Arabidopsis thaliana: one gene and its partners. The protein of the gene in region 3 interacts with the protein of the main gene of each other region in a pairwise test. Each region holds a gene or a part of one and is shown on either strand. Other genes may lie near its edges.

Evidence for each region.
Region 1: the proteins of AT1G15900 (region 3) and AT3G62560 interact in a protein complementation assay, tested with the Arabidopsis thaliana proteins (one large-scale study listed by BioGRID).
Region 2: the proteins of AT1G15900 (region 3) and SMO1-2 interact in a protein complementation assay, tested with the Arabidopsis thaliana proteins (one large-scale study listed by BioGRID).

The regions. Positions count from the first base shown.
Region 1 is NC_003074.8:23,133,327-23,141,802, reverse strand, and holds AT3G62560 (Ras-related small GTP-binding family protein), read right to left. Parts: upstream 4,518-8,476; 5' UTR 4,265-4,517; coding exon 4,136-4,264; intron 4,024-4,135; coding exon 3,892-4,023; intron 3,244-3,891; coding exon 2,923-3,243; 3' UTR 2,658-2,922; downstream 1-2,657. Other genes in the region: AT3G62550 (Adenine nucleotide alpha hydrolases-like superfamily protein), read right to left, coding at 4,729-4,816, 4,896-5,014, 5,240-5,349, 5,438-5,609; AT3G62540 (Pentatricopeptide repeat (PPR) superfamily protein), read left to right, coding at 6,490-8,289.
Region 2 is NC_003075.7:11,952,183-11,961,123, forward strand, and holds SMO1-2 (sterol C4-methyl oxidase 1-2), read right to left. Parts: upstream 4,737-8,941; 5' UTR 4,514-4,736; coding exon 4,178-4,513; intron 4,100-4,177; coding exon 3,777-4,099; intron 3,436-3,776; coding exon 3,288-3,435; intron 3,195-3,287; coding exon 3,162-3,194; intron 3,002-3,161; coding exon 2,942-3,001; 3' UTR 2,658-2,941; downstream 1-2,657. Other genes in the region: AT4G22755 (methylsterol monooxygenase 1-3), read right to left, coding at 5-40, 158-305, 497-819, 1,104-1,427; AT4G22758 (PPR containing protein), read left to right, coding at 6,295-6,639, 6,936-7,140, 7,505-7,722; AT4G22760 (Tetratricopeptide repeat (TPR)-like superfamily protein), read left to right, coding at 8,371-8,941. UniProt on the Arabidopsis thaliana protein: Non-heme iron oxygenase involved in sterols biosynthesis by catalyzing the removal of the first methyl group at the C-4 position. 4,4-dimethyl-9-beta,19-cyclopropylsterols such as 24-methylenecycloartanol are the preferred substrates.
Region 3 is NC_003070.9:5,461,022-5,468,429, reverse strand, and holds AT1G15900 (uncharacterized protein), read right to left. Parts: upstream 4,158-7,408; 5' UTR 4,075-4,157; coding exon 3,733-4,074; 3' UTR 3,483-3,732; downstream 1-3,482. Other genes in the region: FDM1 (XH/XS domain-containing protein), read right to left, coding at 145-357, 712-999, 1,113-1,202, 1,316-1,497, 1,579-2,479; AT1G15890 (Disease resistance protein (CC-NBS-LRR class) family), read right to left, coding at 4,469-7,024; AT1G15885 (uncharacterized protein), read right to left, coding at 7,335-7,408.

The DNA.
Region 1 (8,476 bases), on a different chromosome or scaffold from region 3:
CTTTGGCTATTATTGTTTTGCCAAAAATGAAAATTTAGAATGGAGCCTATAATATTGATCATAATTAGATGTTGGCCATGCCAAGAATTTCTTAATGGTGCACGTTAAAAGCTTTTGATAAATTACACACGAGTATCAAGATATTCATGTTATGTGCTTCAATGATGAATATAATTACCTTTCCCCGATTTTATACCATTGTGAAATTACGTAATTAATTAATCGGGGCACGTCTTGTTATTAATGTTTCTTAGAAAACAGCATGCTATTGCAAATCATGTAGAATTTGTATGGTCTAAAATCAATGCAATGTCAACATGTATGTAGCAGAAGACATATGGTCCGTATGAAAACAATATGTAATGTCAAATAAATATCCAACTTTTTTCATAGGATTCTTAAAGAAAAAAAAAAACTATATAGCAAGGGATGGTAGCCTTTATGATTGGGAACTGAATATAACAGCAATAATAATAATGCAGCTCATAAAATGATTATATTATAGGTACAACTTCCTTCCACATTTTTGGACTTATAGGCAATGTATGTGTATTGGCTTCAATTTACAACATAGGTGTTAATCATTCAGAATATAATATCGATCTTTAACTATGTATTACAATTTTCTATTCTCCCTTGTATAAATAAAAAATGGGTAAAAAATACAGTTTTCCCTTGAAATCCTATATTTCCATGATAAATAAACGAATTTCTACAAAGCTATATGAACATTTTTTTACATCAATGATTCTCTATATTCTTACAAACCAAACTCTATTCATTTGTATATAAATATGAACTCTTGATTGAATTTTCGTATGAAATTGAACTAGTTGAGAATAGAGATAAGAGATGAGAACTGCTAGTATAATACAAATTAAAAGATAGAGTCGAGCATTAAATAGTTGATGATAGTGCACACCGTGCCATTGGTCGAGACAACTATGCCAGGATGGCTTGAGTTAACAAACTCTACAAAGACGACGATTACGTGTTAATTGTAGTTAACTAGTGTTGAGTTAAATATTTGGTTTAAAAGTGGGTCTACTTAAAAGGCAACTGTCCCCATTCTATAAACATGTTAGCATCTTAAGAGGCACACCATGACGGCGTATATATCATACACACAACATGTACATACATATTTATACGTAAATACCCTTCATATTTTCATATATACATACACATCAATATGTATACTTCGTCAAATCCCTTCTATCATATGGTATGTTTTAGTTCTAAATTTAATTTTGATAAGTTATATAGTATCTTGCAAAGTTATAGGAATGCATATAGTCCAACAGAAACCAAAAATTATTTGAAAAATCATAAAATATTAAGCTTTCTAGCTACAAGTGGACATCCAAAAATATTGTACATAACACTTTCACTATTGGGTGTTTCGACATTGCAACATGATTGCATTGTCTATGACTGGTGACTTTCACCGAGACATGGGTTTTATATAGAACCAAATAAGTGTCAAAGTTGGCGCAAGTTTTAAGATAGGAATCTATTATCAAATACTAATAATACTAGTTGTATGATTAACGTCGTTATTTAATTTGAAGTATTGAGTAAAAAAGAGAGAATATTGCGTTGGGCATCAAACCAATCATCTAGTTTTGCTCAAATGCATACGATAGAGACCTCTTTTGGATCCAAAAGCTTTGGGTTTTGAACTAAAAACTGAAACCAATCACATAAAAGTCAGATAGCTCAGAGGGAGGCACGTGTTCTTGGCTTAGATATCACGTGGGAATGAGGGATCCATGTGCATCCCTTTACCCCAAAAACCAAGTTAATACTTCTTCTAAATTTATTTTTCTCTTCTCCACGCAATCAATCGAATGAGTTTTAATATTTTGACATTTTTTTATATATAAAAAAAACTTTTCTCATTCAAGCAAAAAACTTAAATCAAATTATTCATTTGGTCACATTTTCGTGCTTGGTATTTCATGGGTCCTGGGACATAGAACCAGTCTCTAGCTAGTGGCGAATATAAAAAAGAAACAGCATAGTAAAAAGAAGAGCAAAAACTGTAACAAGGAATCAATCCAAAGGAGAAAAAATTAATAACAAATGATAGAAATAATACGTTAAAAAAAAACTTTTGATATTAACTTTGGGCCACGTAGAGAAGAATCAGTCCAAAGGAGAAATGTTCTGAAAAAGTTATAAAAAGAGAAAGTGAGCACCTAATAGTTTTCTTACACATCCATATTTGCATAGTCCGTAGACATATATATGCTTGAGCTGCAAAATCTTGAGTCGCAAAATCTAATCTATTAGCCTTATTACGCTGCGACTTGAACGTTTGGAAGCGGCTGAGATCAAAGACGCATTGTGATGGTGCTAAAAAGCAAATTTTTTTACTTATTTTGTGAACTATTTTGGAGTATTATTGTTCACATATTTTAATGAAAATAAATACATGGTTATCCATAGATCTGTTTGTGTTCATTTCACAATACCTAGAAAGAAGAAAAACAGACATAATGATAAGTTCACAAAGAGACATAACACATGTAAAACAATATACGTACACTCATTATGGTACATCTATGTGTCAAATTGATTGGTTTTCAGTGTAGGACATTGTGATTGTTAATTGTCAAACTCGATTCACATGGGGTTTTCTCTACATTACATTATTAAAGTAAAAGTGTTCATCTTTCGAATTTTCATAAAAAAGCTAAGATACAGCCATTTCTTAAGCCCCACACAGTTACACAGTCACAGACAAATGGGTTCACACTTTTCATAGGATTCAACTTTGGTCTGTAAACACAAAATTGATAATTTAAAAGCCGTCAAATCTTGTTGTATACACACATTAATCGTAATTATACATTAGGTTATAACACGTACAGATACCAATCACACAGTATAGATAGATAAGACTTAAATATGATTGATCTAGTCGATATATTGAGAAACCCATTTAAATCCTTCGCCGTAACCCATCTTTCTGACAATGCTGCACATGAACACCTCAAGAGGACGAACATTTGTTCCTGCTAGATTCACTTTACCTTTCCCAGTGGTGAAACTGGTGAGGCCTAGATGATAACGCAGCTCGTCTTCTGATGCAGCGTACGGAATGTCGATTTTGTTTCCAAGGATGAGGAAAGGGACATTTGCTAGGGATTCATCAGAGAGAAGAGCGTCAAGCTCTTTCTTTGATTCTGCAAACCTCTCTTTGTCATATGCATCAACTAGGTATACCACTGCATCAACCTAATACGAGACAATAATAAAGTTACAAACTTGAAGATAGAATGCAAAGAGGGTAGCTAATAGAAACACCGGAGTCTATTAATCTCTTGATTCACTGGAATCATCAGCTATGAGAATGTAAATCACAAGGGACCTCATGACTCTAAAACTGACAGTAAGAGTAGTCTATAGCTATACAATCTTCTAATTTTCAACCTCCACTGGCTCCACATACCAATCACAATGTCATTTTAAACTACAGTATATGATGTATATGTATATCTATCATCTGAAGATTTTACTATAGCTCAATCATTTCAAACTATCATCTGCAAACTTATATAACCCAACGGAGCAACACAGTGGCTAAGGAACAGAGTAGGAGTAGTACACAGCAAGAGCTTACTAGGTACACATAACCAGCAGAATGTAATCACAGGACCTCATGCTGCAACATTCAAAAGAGAATTGCTATATGACAAACTTCATTGAAGATTTCACTTCACCTCTATCATCTAACTATTGTTTATATGGGCACAGGGAAGATTGTAATCTATAACAGAGTCAGCTTAGAGTCTACATACAACTATACGAGCGCAATAGTCCTTCCAAAGACTTGCTAAATTGATTGACCTAACAATAAAATCCAAAGAAGAAAGAAGATCAAACCTTAGCGTAATAGTCCTTCCAGACTCTACGAGCAATCTGATGACCTCCCAAATCGAAGGCTTTGAACTTGATTTTGCCGATACTAAGCTCTTCCGATGTCGGATGCTGTGTCGGCTGATGCTGGACCAGTCTCTGAAACCCAAATCAAACGATTATCGCTGATTAAGACTTTGATTCGTTCGCGCTAAGTAAAAGAAACAAGATTCTAGACAGCGATTACTGATATGGCTCGAAGAAAACGAACCTCGTCCTTTAACATGTGAAGCAAGGTGGTTTTGCCGGCGTTGTCGAGACCTAGAAACAGAATCTTCGCTTCTTTCTGCCATAGTCCCAGAGTTGCCAGAACTCCATAGAACCAATCCACCAGGAACATCGCTTCTTCTTCTTCTTCTTCTTCTTCTTCTCTCTCGCGAGATTGAAGATTTTCACGAAGCTTCGAACACGGAAACGGCGACGTTTAAGTATGACTGTGTCGACTGGATGAGTAACAGATATACTTTGGGCCTTGAGGCCTTTATTGAACTTTGAAGCGAACAACAATTAAGTGTTCAAACAACAAAATTGCAAATATTCAAAACTTGGTATATGGTTCATTACATTCTTCTATACGTTAAATTGAAATTTGCGTTTACATTAGTTTTTAATTTGGCATTGTATGTAGAGAATGTAGATTTGAATTTAATTGGTTGATTGATGTCATTGTCAGCTAGTTTTATATAAGCAAAAATATCTGCTAAATTTGTTTAAACCGTTATGTATTTTATTATCGCATACGAAGATTGATTCAAGTGTTACACCAGTTCTTTCGAAACATATACACAATGCAATCATATGAGCTTAATTATCTTGAGCTTGCTTCTTGACGATAACCACAGGACACTTGACTCGTTTGGCGCAATACTCGCTCACACTCCCTAGCAAAGCCCTATCAAATATATCAAATGATTATCAAATAACCATTAAACCAAAATATTTTTGTTTCTTATAAGAGATTGAAACCTTACCTTTTGAAGAAGCCATAGTCATGAGTGCCCATTACTAACATATCAACTCTAAGTTTCTGAACTGCGTTGCATATAACTTCCTTAGCATCTCCTCTTCCAACTCGTCTCTCTATATTAATCTGCACATTAATTTGGTTATATTTACATTTATTTCGCCAACTCTCTTTGAAAACAACCATATTTTGCTTATCATATGTTATATTTTTTGTACTAAATATTGCTCATGATAAACAGATTAACTCATAACTACTTGATTAAATTCACTTTCTCATAATTTCTCAAGTTTTTTAAGCAAGTATAATCCAGCAAATTAAGTGATAAAAAATCGATAGAAATAAGCTTACATCAGACTCATAATCTTGGTACACGGTTCGAGACCGAGCCATGACCGATTCCACGAGCTCGTATTCATACTTCTTCAAAGCTGCAACCGGGTCTCCTGTCACTATAAACCCTGGAAATCGACCAAACAAAAATCTATAACTAAAGTGAACAGATTATAATTAGGGAAAGATATGAATCGTGAAAGAACGAGGACTAACCTGCGGCATCGAGGGAAGAGTAAACGGGAAGAGGGGGCTTGACGTAGAGGAGGATGAGTGTATTATTGGAACCATATGGAAAAAGATTGTCAAGACTCCATGACAGAGCTTCCATGCTCTCTTCGCTTTCGTCTACTGCTACTACTATCTTTCTCTCCTTTGTTTCCTCCATTTCTTTACCTTTCTAAAAAAAAAAACTGTTTTCTTTTGCTTTCAATTATTAGAGAAGAAATATATTATGAAGAAGACCTGATGGAAGAAGAGATTATGATTGTGTTACTATTTATACAATTAGCTAGGCAAAACCCACTTGATTTCTCATTTTGGAATTAAGTGTTTTCATTTAGATATTTGCAGACACTATCCTTTGTGTAATTTTTACATTAGATAAGATATAAACCCACATAGGATTGATTGATAACCAAATACAGAAAACTATCGTTTTTCTTTCAGGGGTGACTCTTATCTACAATATGCGATATTTTTATGTAGATAATTCATGATTTTTTATAGAATTATTTCATGCTTCTGAACTACTATGTTATTATAGATTTTAGGTGAATCAATATTTATGAACTTAATCTGGAATCTGATTTTCCTCATATATCCCTTAGTTTTATATACATCCCGCAGGGTTATTGATGATTGATGTTACACTGATTGACTGATCTTGATTTTCAGTTATGTAATATCCATAAACACGTATACAAAGACAACGTGAACTAAGAGAAATGTAAGATAGAATCAAATAAATCTAAAAATAAATTGGTCCCCTAAGAAAAACTTGAGAAAATATCACGACCCTAAAACGAAGATAAGATGCATACAGATACCTTCCAACTAAAAAATAAAAATTCTTTATGCGTTTGAGCTTTAATGCTCCTGGTGGACCCAATGGTTATATGTGACCAGATCAATGGGCCTTTAATGGGTCAAAATTATTATCACTCAAAGCTTCTAATCAAACAAAGGCCCAAATACGTGAAGAGCTCTCCGCCGTAAATCAGTGGCTTTTCACCGACTTCGCCATTGCTAATCGCCGTCGAGCTTCCATGGCTGCTGCTCCATGGCTCTATCTCTCTAGGAGAAGAAGCTCCACTCAGACTTCATTAAGAAGATTCCTCATTTGCTCTTCTTCATTCGATGCCGATGAATTCATTTCCAGTCAAAGCCGCGTAATCGGCGGGAGAGGAGAAGAGGAAGTACGATTTTCCGGTGCTCTCTTCTCTCGTATGATTCATTCTTCTACTTATCATCCTTACCGTCAAATTCCATTGCCACACTCCTCTGTACAACTGCTTGATGCGAGTCTTGGGTGTAGAGGTTTCTCTAGTGGTAGTTCTAATGTTAGTGATGGATGTGATGAAGAAGTTGAATCTGAATGCGATAATGATGAAGAAACTGGGGTCAGTTGTGTTGAATCAAGTACTAATCCGGAAGAAGTAGAGAGAGTCTGCAAAGTGATTGATGAATTGTTTGCGTTAGATAGAAATATGGAAGCTGTTCTTGATGAAATGAAACTAGATTTATCACATGATCTCATCGTTGAGGTTTTAGAACGTTTTCGACATGCTAGGAAGCCTGCATTTAGGTTCTTCTGTTGGGCTGCAGAGAGACAAGGATTTGCTCATGCTTCAAGAACATATAACTCCATGATGAGTATTTTAGCAAAGACTAGACAGTTCGAGACGATGGTTTCGGTACTCGAAGAGATGGGTACGAAAGGTCTATTGACGATGGAGACATTCACTATCGCGATGAAAGCTTTCGCTGCTGCGAAAGAGAGGAAGAAAGCTGTTGGTATCTTTGAGTTGATGAAGAAGTACAAGTTTAAGATTGGTGTTGAAACCATTAATTGCTTGCTTGATAGTCTTGGCAGGGCTAAGCTTGGAAAAGAAGCTCAGGTTCTGTTTGATAAGCTGAAGGAGAGGTTTACACCTAATATGATGACTTACACTGTTCTACTCAATGGTTGGTGCAGGGTGAGGAACTTGATAGAAGCAGCTAGAATCTGGAATGATATGATTGATCACGGATTGAAACCTGACATTGTAGCTCACAACGTAATGCTTGAAGGGTTGTTGAGGAGTATGAAAAAATCAGATGCGATCAAATTGTTCCATGTTATGAAATCCAAGGGACCTTGCCCTAATGTCCGTAGCTATACCATCATGATCCGGGACTTCTGCAAACAGTCGAGCATGGAAACTGCCATTGAGTACTTTGATGACATGGTTGATTCCGGGTTGCAACCTGATGCTGCGGTTTACACGTGTCTGATCACGGGGTTTGGGACTCAGAAGAAGCTGGATACTGTTTACGAACTGCTCAAGGAGATGCAAGAAAAGGGACACCCTCCGGATGGCAAAACGTATAATGCGTTGATCAAACTGATGGCGAACCAGAAAATGCCGGAACATGGCACAAGGATCTACAACAAGATGATCCAGAACGAAATTGAGCCATCGATACACACGTTCAACATGATAATGAAATCTTACTTCGTGGCGAGAAACTATGAGATGGGGAGAGCAGTTTGGGACGAGATGATCAAGAAAGGGATTTGTCCTGACGATAACTCCTACACGGTTTTGATCAGAGGGCTTATAAGTGAAGGGAAGTCGAGAGAGGCATGCAGATACTTGGAGGAGATGCTTGACAAAGGAATGAAAACCCCTTTGATTGATTATAACAAGTTTGCAGCTGATTTCCACAGAGGGGGACAACCGGAGATATTTGAGGAATTGGCACAGAGAGCTAAGTTCTCAGGTAAGTTTGCTGCAGCAGAGATCTTTGCGAGATGGGCTCAGATGACTAGAAGGAGATGCAAACAGAGATTCATGGAAGATTGATAACTTGGGGGCGGGTAACTGGATCATTCAACTCACTCACTCGGAGAAAGCTTATCTGCAAATGGTTGGTTTTCGAGCCACAACTCTTACTTGAATCAAGAATATGACTTCACTAGCACAGCTTGGACTGAACTGATCACATTGGAATCTGTCAGATAGCTTTTTTGTAATTTGCTTCTATAACAAG
Region 2 (8,941 bases), on a different chromosome or scaffold from region 3:
TAACCTGATGATGAAGAAGCTTCTTATGGATTCGATAGCCCTAATGACAGAAAACAATATAACAACAACGTCAACACTGGTCAATATTCTATAATACGTAATTAGTTTAAAACGCTAACGGACAAAGTAATATGATTGAAGTTTGATCAAAACTCACTTTATCAGTTCCATAAATGTAATCGCAGTAAGTGAAAACCGAAGCAAAGTTGCTCTGGCTTTGTCCTCCAACGTAGTGATGGTAGTCATGATACTCAGGTCCACCGTAAAATGGAATTAATTTTGTCACACTCCATGGAAAATCATATCTGCAAACAAAATAAGTAAACAAGTGCATCTACAAACAATATGTAACTATTTATGTCTATGTTTGCATATTACTAAATTCTTTTTTTGTGTTTAGCGTTTGAATTTTCGAATGATATCACTAAACACTCAATCTTTCTTTTACAAACGCTAAACAGGATAATGATTTTAAGTTTGTTTAGTGTAGTTTTACCCGCTGTGGGTCTCAATCGCCTCGAATTGTCGTAAAGATATCCATAACCAAAACGTCATTATATGGCCAGGAGCAATTGCCGGTCCAAGAAACGTCGGAATCCCAAGAATCAAAATCTCGGCCCAATGCGCATACGGCGATGCGTATCCGATAGGTGATGTGTACTCATGATGGATTCGATGAATCTTCTCGTAACCCCATTTGCAATGCATCCATCTATGGATCCAGTAGTTAGTGTAATCTTCTATCAAGAAGTAAACCACTAATTGTGCTACTATCTCCATTAACGATGGTAATGGCAAACCACTTCGAATCCCAACCATCTGTCAATTAACACATATAGTATATCTCAAGAACATCACAAATTAACAAAAAAAAGTGTTGTAAGAAGGGTATATACATATATGCAATAATATAACGTTTCAATTTAATATTTTAATGGGATTTTTCTCTAAATAACCAAAAAAAAAAGCACAAAATTGTATAACAACCCACTCACACAAAAAACGTTGCAAAAACAACACTTAAAAAAAGGAATATACATATATCATAAAATATTTGGTTGTTTGTTTTAAAGAATAAATGAAAATTTAAAATGAATAGTAACCTGGATGGAAGGATAAGAAACGATTTGCAATGTGCCGACGACGAGAAGGAACAACTTCATGACTTCTTTATAACATTGGAACATATCAGACAACGAATACTTAACCTTCTTCTGAATCTTAAACTGATCGAACCAACCGGTCCATTCGACAATCACAAGAGGAAAAGGAGCTAGTGAAAAGACAAGGAAGAGAACCAGAATGGTGTGGCAATATACATGGAAATTGGATTTGGTGGCTGAGTAATCGAACCAAACCGTCTCGAACCAAGTAAGGTTTCGTCCTAACGCCACGGACGCATCTTCTACGGTTGGATAAGGGATCATATTGTGAGAGTGTTGTGTCTGGATTAATTTGTGTGGTTTATGTTATAGCATTGTTTTGGAGTTATAGACTCATAAAACGTGTCTTGAATGTGTTTTGGAAAATGTATGATGAGGATGCTTGAAAAACTATATAAAGATGCACAAATGTCGAAACATGGTACCTACTTAATTAATTTCGGTGATTTTTCTTTTTTTTTGATTTTTCCAATTTTTGGTATATTATTTACCCTTTGAGAAGTCCGCCAAATTGGGTCCTCAATGTATTTGTTTTTTGACTTTTTAGTAGAACACAACAAAACATATCTTATCTCTTTACGTCTATATTTGATACGAACGGGTCACATTTTCGTTTTTTAAAAATATAAAACGAAAATTCAAAGTTACTAAGGTTGTTATTTTTTAGTAGTTATTTAGGTTAGAAGATATCTAAAATTGTATGTTCGGAAATATTTGTTGCAAATTCATTTATAGACCTATCATCAGGAGTAATTTCTTTTCACCAAATGATTTTGAATAGCTAAAGCCTTTCTTCATTGTTTAACAATCTACGAAACGAAGAGTGATGATCCATACGTCTAGAAAAGAAAAACTCGTTGATACACAAAATATGTGTGGACAAAAACTTAATATCAAGTTCATTAAAACTCTTTCGTGAATTGGTTTAAGAGTAAAAACTTATTGAAGTAGTTTACAATATAGCCTCATTAAACCAAAAAAAAAAATATAGCCTCACACAGCTACAACCCCATTCTTGAAGTTATTATCATATTCACTGTGTCCATGGTAATTCTAAGACAACGAGAACAAGGAAATGTGTGTTAAAGAAAAACTGTGTGTTGTTAGGTTTAGTTGAAAAAACACAGGAAGGAAGAGAGTGTTTCGATTTTAAAGTCATAAATTAGTTGGTAACAACTAAATAAGTTATTGTACCTACTACTGTACTTAAAACTGTTGTTTTCAAGTTTGGTGAGACAGCTTTAGTAAATGCATGTGTTTCGCTTGTTTTAGCCTTCTTTGATTAGATTTGTTTTCCGAGAGTGAAATCGACCCCCATCATCAATGCAACTATCGTTATGGTAAGGATTTTCCTTTTAAATCATGCCACTCAAATGCAACAAAAAGGAAAAGAAACGCCCACCGTGGGGCTCGAACCCACGACCACAAGGTTAAGAGCCTTGCGCTCTACCAACTGAGCTAGACGGGCCTTGTTGTTAACGTTAGATACTTAAGTTATACTTAACTTAACTTAATACTATCAGAGTAGGAACTTGTTACAAGCCAATGAATGCACTATGTAACATTTAAAATATACAAAAAGGATTTATTGACACACACCAATTCCAAAAGAGTTTTAAAAAAAACTTCAGATAGGAACTCGTCACGAGCATTTTCATGTGACACAGGGAAGACCAGAACAGAGAAAACTAACTACCCTTTCATTTTTAAGTATTGACTACATTTGTAGAATGCTTGAAACTTACGGTAAGTCAACCTCGCGAGGGGTTTTAGATTTACTAATCGAATTTCTCTCCTCCATTAACCAGCTTGTTGCTCTTCTTGGACTTCTCCTTCATCTGCAACTCATAAGATATAGCATCAAGAAACATATCATCAATATGATGATACTAGATACCACATATACTGTTATGTGAGCTTGCAATTTGATGGCTGCGTTTATGGGTATGCGGTATGCCGAGAGATAAGCTAGTCTCAGTTTATGGAGTATTTATTTACCTGCTGAAGAAGCTTCTTCTGGAATCGGTAACCCTGATGAAAATAAGAACATATACCCACATTGTCAAATTTTTATCCAGAATTAGTAGACGCTAACCGGAAAAGAACTGAAGTTTCATTACTCACTTTATCAGTTCCATAGATGTAATCGCAGTAAGTAAAAACTGAAGCAAAGTTACTCTGGCTTTGTCCTCCAACGTAGTGATGGTAATCATGATACTCAGCTCCACCATAAAATGGAATGTACTTTGTCAGAGACCATGGGAAATCATATCTTCAAAAGAAAACGAAAAATAAAAAAAACAAGTCAATTTATCTCCAGAGAAACAAGTTTCATGCACCAAGCAATCATCATATTGTCCAAATACTTATTTGAACAAGACAAGATGCTTATCATCTCAAGAATGATTTCTTGCTCATGTTGACCACAAAAGATTAACTAAGCAGTCTCTAAACAATCACCTAGAGCTAATTACAGTCAATAAAGCATCAGAAAAGGCTAGTGCCTAACCTTAGCCCCACCAACAAAAGGTAAACGCACTATTGAAACTTCCCACATAGCCCCAACGCATTATAAACTAAGATAAACAATTCAAAACCATTCCTTTTCCTTACCCGCTATGAGTTTCGATAGCCTCAATCTGTCGTAAAGCAATCCACAACCAAAAGGTAATCATATGACCAGGAGCAATAGCAGGTCCAAGAAACGTGGGAATGCCAAGAAGCAAAACCTCAGCCCAATGAGCATAAGGAGCAGCATAACCAATAGGAGCTGTATACTCATGATGAATATGATGAAACTTCTCATAACCCCATTTACAATGAAAGAATCTATGAACCCAGTAATTAGTATAATCCTCTACCAAGAAGTAAACCACTAACTGTGCTACAATCTCCATACATGATGGTAATGGTAATCCACTTCGTATCTCAATCATCTGTTTCAACACACGAAAAACAAAATCAACCTAAATCGCATCAATTCCGAAATTAGAAGCCAAATTCCAGAAATTAACCTGAATCGAAGGATAAGAAACGAGTTGTAATGGACCAACGACGAGGATGAACATCTTCATGACGTCTTTGTAACATTTGAACATCGATGAGAATGAGTTTTTCACTTTTGGTTGGATTTTGTAGCGATTGAACAAATCTGAGGTGGATTGAGATGATTCGATGAAAACGAGAGGGAGAGGAACGAGAGAGAAGATGAGGAAGAGGAAGAGAATGTTGTGGCAGTAGAGGTAGTAATCGGATTTGGTGGCGGAGTAATCGAACCAGAGAGTCTCTAGCCATGTGAGGTTTCGAGATAATGCGATCGACGCTTCTTCGATTGTTGCGTATGGGATCATTGTAGAAGATGATGAAATCGTTTCCTTCCGGTGACGGCGACGGTCGTTGACGTGAGATTGAGATTGAGATTGAGAGAGAGAGTGAGAGAGGAGAGTGTCGTCGTTGTTGTTGGATTTTGTCTGTTATGATTTGGCGAATATTTGGAGTAGTGACGTGGCATTATCGGTTTAGTTTACAAGTGTGATGTTTACTTGTTGAACCGGATTAAACCAAAATTACTAACATTGTCTCAAGATCTCGCTTACAACATAAAAAAGAGGGACAAAATGGCCCATACTAAAAGCCCATTATAAATTATTGGGCCATTAAAATGGATAAAATGTACTCCACAGTAGCGTTGTGTTTGGAGTAGGCCCAATTTTCTTTCTTTAATTGTTTAAATGGTGCATACAAATTTCTGTTTTTTTTTTTAAGAAAAAAAACTTTATTATACACTTGGATATACACATATATATAAAGACACGGATATACATACACGAGTTTTGTGGAATGTGTCTATGAATTTTTATGACACCATTATACTATAGAGATAGCAAAAGGTTGAAATAAATTGAGGCTGTTGGCCAATTGTATTTAAGTAATAGAATGGTATTACATCATCACGAAAAGTGACGTTACATTTGAAATTATAAAGTCTTACAATTTTTTCGTCATGACAATAAATGATATTTAAATGTAATAATACATATTTTTTAAGTTTCAAGTATACATAAAAAAGGGTCACAAACGATCGTTGTTAAATACTTGGTGGAAAACAAGTGCGTTACGCGTGAACATGAGTGCGTATGGCATAAGAGAAGTCGACCACACCATTAATGACTTTAAATCAAGCCCAAAAGTTCTTTCTTTTAACAGTGGAAACAAACCTCGGACCAATCTCAGCCACACAAATTCTCCTTTTTATTTTATGTTGTTTTTTCTTGACGTTGATGAATTCTTGTTTTTGGTTATAAATTTTTTATATTACTTCCATTACTCAGCACTTTCGTAAAATTTAATGAATTGATGATACTAGTTGAGTCTCCCTCCTCTCTAATTGTTTATGTGTTTTTTTTCATTTGTTTATGTGCTTCTCACTATCACCTTAGATTTTTTGTGTTTTACGAAACTTGTTTGGGTTTCTCGTTTTCTTGTTTAACGTGTCAACTTTTCTACAAATCCAATAGTTTTGTTTCCTTTACACTTTATAGGATTGTGAGTCTCCCAAGTAATCTTCTAAAACAATGCATCAAGAAATTTATATTCATTTGTACAAGTATATTATTGCCTTTTTCCAACACATTTTATCCATAATAAGGATAGATTTTTTAAAAAATACTCCGTATGCTAACCAGAAAACATTTTAGCTCCATAATTACATAGAAGTTTTAATCTAATACAGTGCTACAATTCAACGCATTTCTATTTTACTATAATAAACACAAGTACGTAAGAATCAGCACAAGATATCATACTATAAAAGAATCGATCGTCGACAGGAAATATAAATACTATATTACAAGAACCACGTCTATATTACTACCTTTAATCGTGTATTTTTTTTGGTCGGTTTGAATTTAAATGTTAAAATCCACACTTATGTTAAAAAGAAAAAAAAAAACAATTTGATTTGGAAAAACATTTGAAAAATACAAATGAAAGAAAAGAAGATAATAAAAGAGTAAAGCAAAGCAAAAGCAGAGAATAACTCTTAATTCGCTTCTTTGCCAAGCAAACCACCAAAACCTCTCAATTGTTTTTTCTTCTTCCTCCTCCTTAAGCAAAGATCATCATTCACGAAATGTCTGATTCGATTCACCGGAGAAAAGTTTCGAATCCTGTAGGAAATGGAGGTCGGAGCTCCAGAACAAGACGAACAGCTTTCAGATATGTTTCCGACAAGAATAATCGCTCTAAATCGAGTAATAAGGTTTTCGAGAGAAGCTTCTCAGAGCCGAGTCTTAATCGCCACCGCGACGGACAGAGTAATCACTTGCGGCGACCATCGCCGATGAGAGGTTTACCGATGGAAGAAGAAACAAAACCGATCGTTTACTTGCCTAGGATTCGCTCTGAGGTTTTCGCTTCGTCTCCGTCGTTGTTGAACTTATATTCGCCCTCGTCTTCATCTCCGATCAATCAAGAGGTCAGAGTCGTTTGCTTCTATTTTTTCAAATCAACAAATTCATGATTTCAACTCTGTAAGAGAATTCATCATTTAGTCCACAAAGATTTAAAAGTTTACAGTTTAAGCCTAATATTATAAAATATTTCAATATAACCATTATATAGGCTGAACAAAGAGTTTTAAGTTCAGCTGCAAATTCTAGAGTCAGTTCTCCAGTTCATGTTATCAGATCGTGATAAATATACCAAAAATTGACATTTCTATTAAATTTCTAAAATCAGAGAACCTCATTTTGTTATTATTTTTCGAAACAGGGTAATACAAAAGAAGCACCAAAAGTAATAATCAGTGTAGCAGTAGAAGGAAGTCCTGGACCGGTAAGAGCAATGGTTAAACTGAGTTGCAACGTCGAAGAAACGATCAAAATTGTCGTTGACAAGTACTGTAAAGAAGGAAGAACTCCAAAACTCGATCGAGATTCTGCCTTTGAATTGCATCAGTCACATTTCAGCATCCAGTGTAAGATATATTAATTATCCAAAAATAATAATTGTTTTTACATATAGAATTAATAAAATAAAAGCACAAATGATGTTTTGGTTGAAATTTTGAATCAGTTGTTTTCAGTTTGACGTAGATTGATTGGATTAAATATCTATACTCCATGATATCTAGTTTTGCTTTAATCACCAACGGTTATGGAAAATATCAAAACTACTCATGGCTCATGTGAACATAGAAACATCACATAATTCTTGAGTTATATAACCTATAATAAAGAAAATGGTGACTAAACCTAACGATTTACCTCTCTTTTTTGTCACATAATTGAATGGTTAAGACAATCAAAATATACTTAAGTTTGATGTAATGTAATTTTCAGGTTTGGAGAAAAGAGAAATAATTGGAGAATTAGGCAGTAGAAGCTTCTACATGAGAAAGAAAGCTCCTGAAACCGGAGGTTCGTTCGCCGGGATTTCTCCAGCGAGAACGAGCCTAATTCCGTCGTCGAATTTGATCGGATCGTGCATCGCTCAGTTGATTGGGAAAATCATGAGGAGAACAAGAAGGATATGGAACATATTGGTATGTGTGCAATGAGATAGACCAAAGTATACACTTTTGAGCGTGGCACATAATATTTTTTAGTTTGTGTTTTGCTCCACTCTCATCAAATAAGGGAACCTTGTACTTTATGAAATTGTATTATAAGTGTGTATATATTTGTGACGATAGATGGATATGGTTCTACGAAATTATTGATTTATGAGGAAAAAATTCATACACACTTCGAGAAAATAACAGAAAATTGACTTTTGAATTATAATTGTGAGAAAAATGAGAGATCAAACCTTCTGTTTGAGTCAGAGTCTTTAGGAAGTATCTTCTTCTTCTGCGAATTGCAAAACCCAAACAGGTTTATAACAGAGAGAAGTTGCCGTCGCTATCGCCGACGCCTCCACCACTACTCGGCGATCACTGTAGTCCTCATACTCTCTCTTTCGGGTAAAATTGCTCTCATTCTATTTTAGGAAGCCTTTCTTATATTATTCAGGATATAAACCGTAAAGTTTTAGATTCGAAATTAAAATTTTGACTCGGTGCATCAAGCACAAACTTATTGGACTTTCTCTAGAAAAGAGCTGAAATTAGGAACTGAGGCATCAATGTAATGTATGACGATTGTTTTGATAGTGGAAGGTCTTTGGTAGATTGGTTCTTGTGTTGGTTTTAGAGTTTGTTTCACAAATGTTGGATTCTAAGCTGAGATTCTTCCTTCAAAGATGTGTAGTGCTTGAACAGGCGAAGCAAGTTCATGCACAGTTAGTAGTGAACCGCTATAACCATCTTGAACCCATCTTGGTTCACCAAACTCTTCACTTCACTAAAGAGTTCTCTAGGAATATTGTAACCTATGTTAAAAGAATCCTCAAGGGGTTTAATGGTCATGATTCTTTCTCCTGGGGGTGTTTAGTTCGGTTCTTAAGCCAGCATAGGAAGTTTAAAGAAACGGTTGACGTGTATATTGATATGCATAACTCTGGGATTCCTCCAAGTTCACATGCTGTAACCTCAGTGTTAAGAGCCTGTGGTAAAATGGAGAATATGGTTGATGGTAAACCGATTCATGCTCAGGCTCTGAAAAATGGATTGTGTGGTTGTGTTTATGTTCAGACAGGTCTGGTGGGTTTGTATTCTAGACTTGGTTACATTGAGCTGGCAAAGAAGGCGTTTGATGATATTGCTGAGAAGAACACAGTTTCGTGGAACTCGCTATTACACGGGTATCTGGAAAGCGGGGAACTAGATGAGGCTCGCA
Region 3 (7,408 bases):
GATACAAGTATCAACGTTCACAGAAATCACAGGTTACTCCATATTTAACTAAAACAGTGGCCAAGAAACTTTTCAAAGTCATATTGGCGCCAACCTAAAGCAATGATTCAGTGTGATAAAGACTTGTAAAATGAATGAACCTACCTCTGCTCCATCCCCGGTTCCTTCATGCTTGAATGGTTGCCATGATGGATTCTTAAGGTTCTCCTGCCATGTAGAGCAAAGGGTGGCAGCTTCGACCGCAGCTTCATTTGCAGAATATCTCAGCTTGCAAACATCCAGGAAAGGTTTCTCATCAAGTTCTCCCATCCTTTTTACTCCAATATCGGTCTCGGCACCCAACAATCCTGTCAAACCCTGGATCAAAGAGCAACCTTTTGAGTCTTGTGATGTTTATCAAGTTCTCCCATCAATTAATAACTCACAAGATATAGTGGTAAATATCTGTGATTTTTATCAGAGACCTACAGACGTCATACACCGTAATCTTATCAAATTGAAACTCATATTCAATCCATCCCATCAAACAGGTTTATGTTAAACTTGCAAGTTCAGTTGTCAACTAAAGATAACCAACAAACTAGAGTGTTTGACCATGTCTGAATTATTTTAGATGCGAAAAACGAAAACGATTCTCAGGATCATATTGTTATAATTGCAAAATGCAACTGTATCAGTACCCAAGAACACTAAAGCATTAGAAATCTGTACCGCAATCAATTTTTTCCGCGCTGCTTGTATCTCATCATTGCTTTGGCGTTCTTTTGTCATCAAGACTGAGTTCATACTTTCTAGCCCTTCTAACTCAGCTTTCTTGTCATCCAGCTCATCATTCATCTCTTTCATTTTCTTCTGGACCGCCTCATCATCATCATCCCCCAGATGCTTCATCACTTGTAATTTGCCTTTTAGCTCTTGAATCTCCATTTCCAGTGTCTGTTTGGTGTCTAGCTGCTTCTCAAGCAGAAGGATCTTGTTCAAAGCATCTTCTTTTTGCCTCTGGCAAGGAGAGAGTTTCAAACTCAGACACAAAAAGGTAGGTACGGGTGGTTTCCCTTAATTTGGAATTAACTTGTTAGTCAGTTTAAGTAGTGTGCTATGAAGGAATATACCTGATGTTCTTCTACAAGTCTCAAGACGCTTTCGTCAGCCTTTTTCTGCTCACGTGAGGCTAACTGTAGGGATTTGTTCATAGCATCACTCTGCCAAAGCAAAAAAAAAAACATAAAATGATCATTGGTTCCTCGGAAAAGAGAAATGCATACATATGAACAGACTGATTGTTTCCTATGTATCATACTGAAAACGATATTACCTTTCTCTTGTCTTCATCAAGCTTTTGCCTATCCAGTTCAGTTAGTGCTTCATGTTTTTCCAATTGTTTGGCCCGAGACTCCAAGTCCCGCATCTTACGATCCAGTTCATTGCTTAGCTTCTCTTTATCATATAGGATTTTCTGGATATGGCGAAGTGACATCTGCTGCATCTTCTTTGTTTCTGAGGAGATAAAGTATAAAAAATAGTCAGATACCCTAAATGCTATATGAGTCGGAAACATATCAGTGTGTCAGTAAATACCGTCAGCAAAAGCTTGGTGCAAGTTTTTTTTCTCATCTAGGACCCTTTGCAGTGACATTGCCGTCCTGTTGTAACTGTATTGGACCTTGTTCAGATCTTCGTTTGTCATAGCAATCATATCTGAAAGTTCTTCCAGAACAGTGTTTCTATCCTGCACATTTTTTTGCGAAATATCTGAAACTGTTCTTAGCTGTCCCTCCTTGGAGAGGTACTCACCTATTGGACCTTGAGATTCAAAGTCGTCTGCACGTGCACACCAACCATAGGCCTTTGACTCTGAATCTCCGCTCCTCTCAGTCCACTCCTTTTTGCTGGACCCTTGGGTCTCAAATTCTTTTTCAAGCTCTGTGGCACCAGCAAAGCCACTCCAGTCTCCGTTAAACTTAGCAATAACCCCAACAATCGAATCTTGTTCGACCCAAAAGGCATTCACCTCAATAGGCTTGAATTTGGAAAGGGTCTGCAGCCAATATGCTGAATCAAGTAGAAGTTCCTTGTCATCCGCTTCTTTCAAAGGGTTAACAACAATCCCCATCCATGGCCAGACATAGACGTTATGAGGGTTTGGTTCAGTCTCGTCTAACTGAGGAGGAACAACTGGAGGGCGTGGAACAGGTTCTGCATAACCAGCAAGCTCATTCTCTAAAAACATAGCTAAAGCAAGATGATTAGCCTTCTGTAAAGCACTTCTGGTGGCAGAACCTTTGGAAACCCCAGTAGCATGTGCATACAACTCCTTGTACTTGTAATCTTGCTTCTTCTTGCCTGCACAAAACGGGCATCTGAGCTGTCCATTCACCTTCACCTTGTAAGTCCCGTCGCGTAAAAGGCGGTAGGGTGTTTCAGAATAGTCCTCAATCTCTGACTCGCTGATCTCAGCCTCTTCATCAGAAATGCTCATCCTACCTGCTTTACCTGGAGAAAAGAATGATAACAAATGAAAAATAGCAACCAAGAGGATGATGCATTCACCAAACAAGCTAAATAGAATCTCTAAGAAATCGAAAAACTTTTTAGAGTTAAAATGAGTCTGTCACATCAGATAGTTCATGCAGCAAAGTTTAAAGCCCAAAAGAGACTCAATTTCTAGCAAACTGAGTCGATAGTATGGAAATCTTCAGAGCAAGAGAAACCCTAGGGAAGAACTTAAGGAAAAAATAAACTAGAGAAAGCAAAAGAGACGAAATTGATACAGCATTTACAAAACTCAGCTAAGAGATTCACGCATGTCGCATGCATGATAAGGAACATAGAGAAATCCAAAATATTTTCTTAAAGAAGAAGTGAGTAAAGGCATTGAAGCACGAAATGCCCAGAGAATAGAGAAAATCATTACTAGGGATTTCAATGAGAAAACAGAGAATAGAAGAAATCTGGAGCTTACGTTAGAGAGGGAAGGAAAGGGAAGACGGCGATGACCCAACGCTTGATGAAGAGTGGAGTATAGAGAGACAGTGAGGAGGATCCGAAGAAAATTTCTATGCCAATAAAACAAGAGTTAGGGAATAAAAAAAGCAATAAAGATGAAGAGGACTTGGAAATTGGAATTAATTTAAGAACAAAAAAAAAATGAATTAGGATTCAGAAAAAATAAATGCGCCAATAGAAGGAGAGTTAGGAAAAAGCAATATTAAAGATAACGACTAAAAACACATTGATGAAAGAAAAAGAAAAAGAAAAAAAATCATGTTTGACTCATGTTTGACCAAAATTCATTTTGGTCTTGGTCTTGGACATCATAATCTTTTCAATTTTGTTGGTTTTCAAATTTTGATGTGATGTTTCAAGCAGGCCAAATGTTTCTCTCCTTGATCTTCACAATGAATGAGCAAATGGCGAAAACGAATATTTGATATTGAGCCTAAACACTGAACTAATTCAAAATTTCAGATTTCATGAATCATATACTTTAGCAGCAATAATCTGAGTACAGTTTTATTCAAAACTGATTTACTTGAATCAACAATACTCTCATAAACTGTTTGTTGCATGTTTTCATTTCAACAAGTAAAATCAAAGGAGACTGATTACCAAAATTTTGTGATGATCAAACTTTTGATAAAAATTGCGAGATTATCCGTGGATACAACACTGACAAGCTTCAACGGAATATTTTCTACTGTGAATCGAATCGGCAGCAATAAGAAAGAAGATTCAAATCGGAAGGATGGGTCGGGTACGTGATCTTCGAGATTTCCAGAGGAGGAGAACCAAAGCAGCTATCACAACTCCAATGGCGTCCGCGACGGCGTCTCTAACGGAAGCACCTGCGGAAGGGAAGATACCAATTTGATCGGCAGCTTCTTTAGCCGCACCGGCGGCGAGTGAGAAAGCAGATCCGATCCAGATGGAGTGACGGCGTAGAAAGGAGTAGCGGGAGAAAGAGGCGAGAGTAGAGAAGATAAGAGAGATTGAGAAGCAGAATATTACATGGTATAGTTTGTCTCGAGCTAGCCAAGGATCTTCTCCATCGCCGCCATGAAATTGCGTCTCCATCTAGTGTTCTTACTGGAAGGCTAAAAACGGTTTTCCGCGTTACAAAGATTAGGAAACCTTTTAAAGTAATAAACTCAGAGAGATTAGAGTAAAGAGAGAATGATAACGCACTTGGAATTTTTTGAACTTATTAGACAAAAACAAAATACAAGTGAAAACTGAAAAAGGAAATAGTCTTTCAAAACTTTGAAAACAAGTTAATCGGGAACAAAAGCAGTGCACAAACAGAAACCAAATCAAGAAGTGAAAGGATATAGTCAAACAGAGAGTGTCAAATCAAGCAAGAATGAGGGAGATAGAAAAGCAGTACATCTGCGATCTGCGATAGCTTCATTCTCCAAAACTAGTACATAAGCCAGAAACCATCAGCTAGCACCGGAGCACCGTCCTCCCATTATTCATTGGCATGTCGCGGAAACTCAGTGGCAGCTTCCGGTAGCTTAAGGCAGCTTCGTACATCAAATTGTCTCAGGTTTGGAAGAGCCGGGGGATTCCAGCAGATTCTCTTTAACTCATCCAAACCCCTTACTTCAAGGAATTCCAGCTTCCCAAACGGAACAACGATATTTGGATGCACATTGGTAATACTCATTCCTTTCTCCTTGTTTATTATCTCTTCTATGGTTAATGACAGCGTCACAGATAGACGCCTGAGGTTTTGAGCAAACAACAGCCATGTTAAATCCCTTGGACCTTCCAAATTGAATATTTCAACAACAGAGAGGTGCTTAAAGCCAGGAGAACTTGTACATTTAAGCTCCCCTCTTCCTTTTCTTTCCCAATCTATCTTTATCTCTGAGATTTTGGAGCCCACGATTTCAAGGTGTTGAAGACCACCCAGAGCTACCGTGTTCAATATTATAACCGGTGCTGACATATTTCTGAGACATAAAGCTTGAATACTACTCACCAATCGGTCCACTCCTTGTATACTTTCCAAAATCAAGGCGTCCTTTATAGTTGCTGTTAAAACCTTCAAGTGCTCCAAGAGTAGTAACTCTTCCATTAAACTGCCATCAATACAAACACGAGAAGAAAACAATTTCAACACTTGCAGGTTTGGTAGGCTTGTAGCTATCCCAACAATACTTTCAAGTTCATCAGTAAACTCCAGATTCAAATGGATTAATTTCTTCAACTCCTTAAAACTAACTGGCAACCATTTTATCCCTGTTGTTGATAAGTTGATATATTGCAAGGAACCTAACTTAGAAATTGCTTCCGGCAAGCTAGAGAGACTCGAGTTCCTCGAAAGATCCAAGACCACGAGTGCTGGCATAAACCTAAAAAAGTCACATGATATATGCACCAACTTGTTATTCTGGAGTAATAGAGTTGAGAGGTTGGGAGAGTTGGAACTAGAAGATATATTTGCAATCTGATTGCACATCAAAGACATCCTTCTCAAACTTTCCCAATTGATGTCCTTTGGTATATGGCATAACTGCACACCGGGTTTCACACAAAGTGTTTCTTTCTGTTTTCCAAAGTTCGACGCTATCCAAAGAGCCATCTCGCGTATGACATCATGCATTTTCACTTTTGTTGTTAGTTCACCATCCATCAATAGATGTGCACGAACTAACGAGCCAATTATGTCATGACCTTTGTTGTTAGCTCCATCTTCATCTTCATTCCCATCTATAAATCCTTCACACATCCAATATTCTATCAACTCTTCCTTTCTTACTTCATAATCTTCCGGAAACAGGGAACAATAAAGGAAGCACAATTTGACTTTTTCATCTTTTAAATCATCATAACTGAACTTCAAAACAGGAAGAATTTTTTCTTCCATACTTGGGAACTCGTGGCTAGACGAGTTCAGAACATGAATCACATGCTGCCATTCCTGAACAGTCTCTCTAGATGCCATAGCTTTGCCAATGACACTGAGTGCAAGTGGCAAGCCACAACATTTTTCTGCTACTTTTCTTGCAAGTGTGGGAATATCCTCATGGCTCTGTAATGGGATTGGTCCAACTTTCTTTTGGAACAGTTCCCAGGCTTCATCCGGTGGCAAACAATCAACTTTCATCTCACCATCAACTTCCATATCTCTGCAAACATCTTTAGAACGAGTGGTGAAAACTATTTTGGATCCATTTTCTCGCGTTAGAGGTGGAACTCCAATCTTTTCTAAATCTACTTCGCTCCATAGATCATCCAATAACAGCACAAATTTCTTTACGTTGAGGATGTTGCATATGTAAGAGGCTTTCTCCTTTTCTGTAACTTGTTTCCATCCCCTGTGAAGACCTAGTCTTCCTAAAATCTGTTCTTGAATGCCTTCATTTTGCAAATCTTTAGAAACCACAACCCATATAACAAGATCAAATCCATTCATCCCTTCAAGGAATTTGTTGTTAATAGAAGCTAAGAGCGTGGTTTTACCTACTCCCCCCATACCATAAAGACCCAAAGTTCTTCGTTCATCTTTCATGAGGCTGTTCCATGCCCTTCCGACCATTGCATCCAACCCAACTGTGGTTTGGATATGCTTCTTCTCCACCTTAGGCGCAGGAATTTTCTCTGCCACCACTTCAAAAACTCCTTTAGCTAGAAGTCCTTCCACGTGTTTCAACTTTTTCAGTACATTTATTCCGTAATTGCGGCCAGATATGAAATTCTTAGAACAATATCCACAGAGACATAACCTTTCAGTTTGAATTGATTTAGCTTTCAGCAGATCATTGACTTGAGAACAAACATCTTTAACCCTTGAAAGCCAACCTTGAACTTGAGCAAGCCGTTGCAAACCTTTGTCTTCTTCTATGACAACTCTTCTTAACAGATCATCTCTTCTCTCCTCGAGCTCTTGCATAGTATTCTGCAGAGCCTCGAGATTAGCCTCCATCTTGAGAATGTAATTCCGATCACCAAATAAGCAGCCACAAGCATGATTCAACGTTTGATCACAAGATATTTCTAGTGCTACACAGTTTCCCATCTTACTCAAACTTTCAAATATCAAGACGATGCAGGAAACAACACAAGATAAGGAGCACTGAATGGAGAAGAGGAAAAAGAGTACAATCGTGCCCTCCTGATATTGATTAGAAAATTTAAAAGTCAGACTGCAAGTTCTAATATCTTATTGAAAGTGGCAGCTTCAACGAAAAGTCAAGATGCGTGTTCAGATATCCACAAAATGACATTGACCATCAAACATTAAGAAACTATAAGATAAAGTTTTCTATCCACAAAATGATATTGACCATAAAAAAATATGAAGAGCACAACTATCTTTCAACTTTCAACTAATGTAACACTCTGCTACTGTAATTGTTGCCGTAATTACTCAATTCAAGCTCATCCCTTTCTTCCTCTTCTT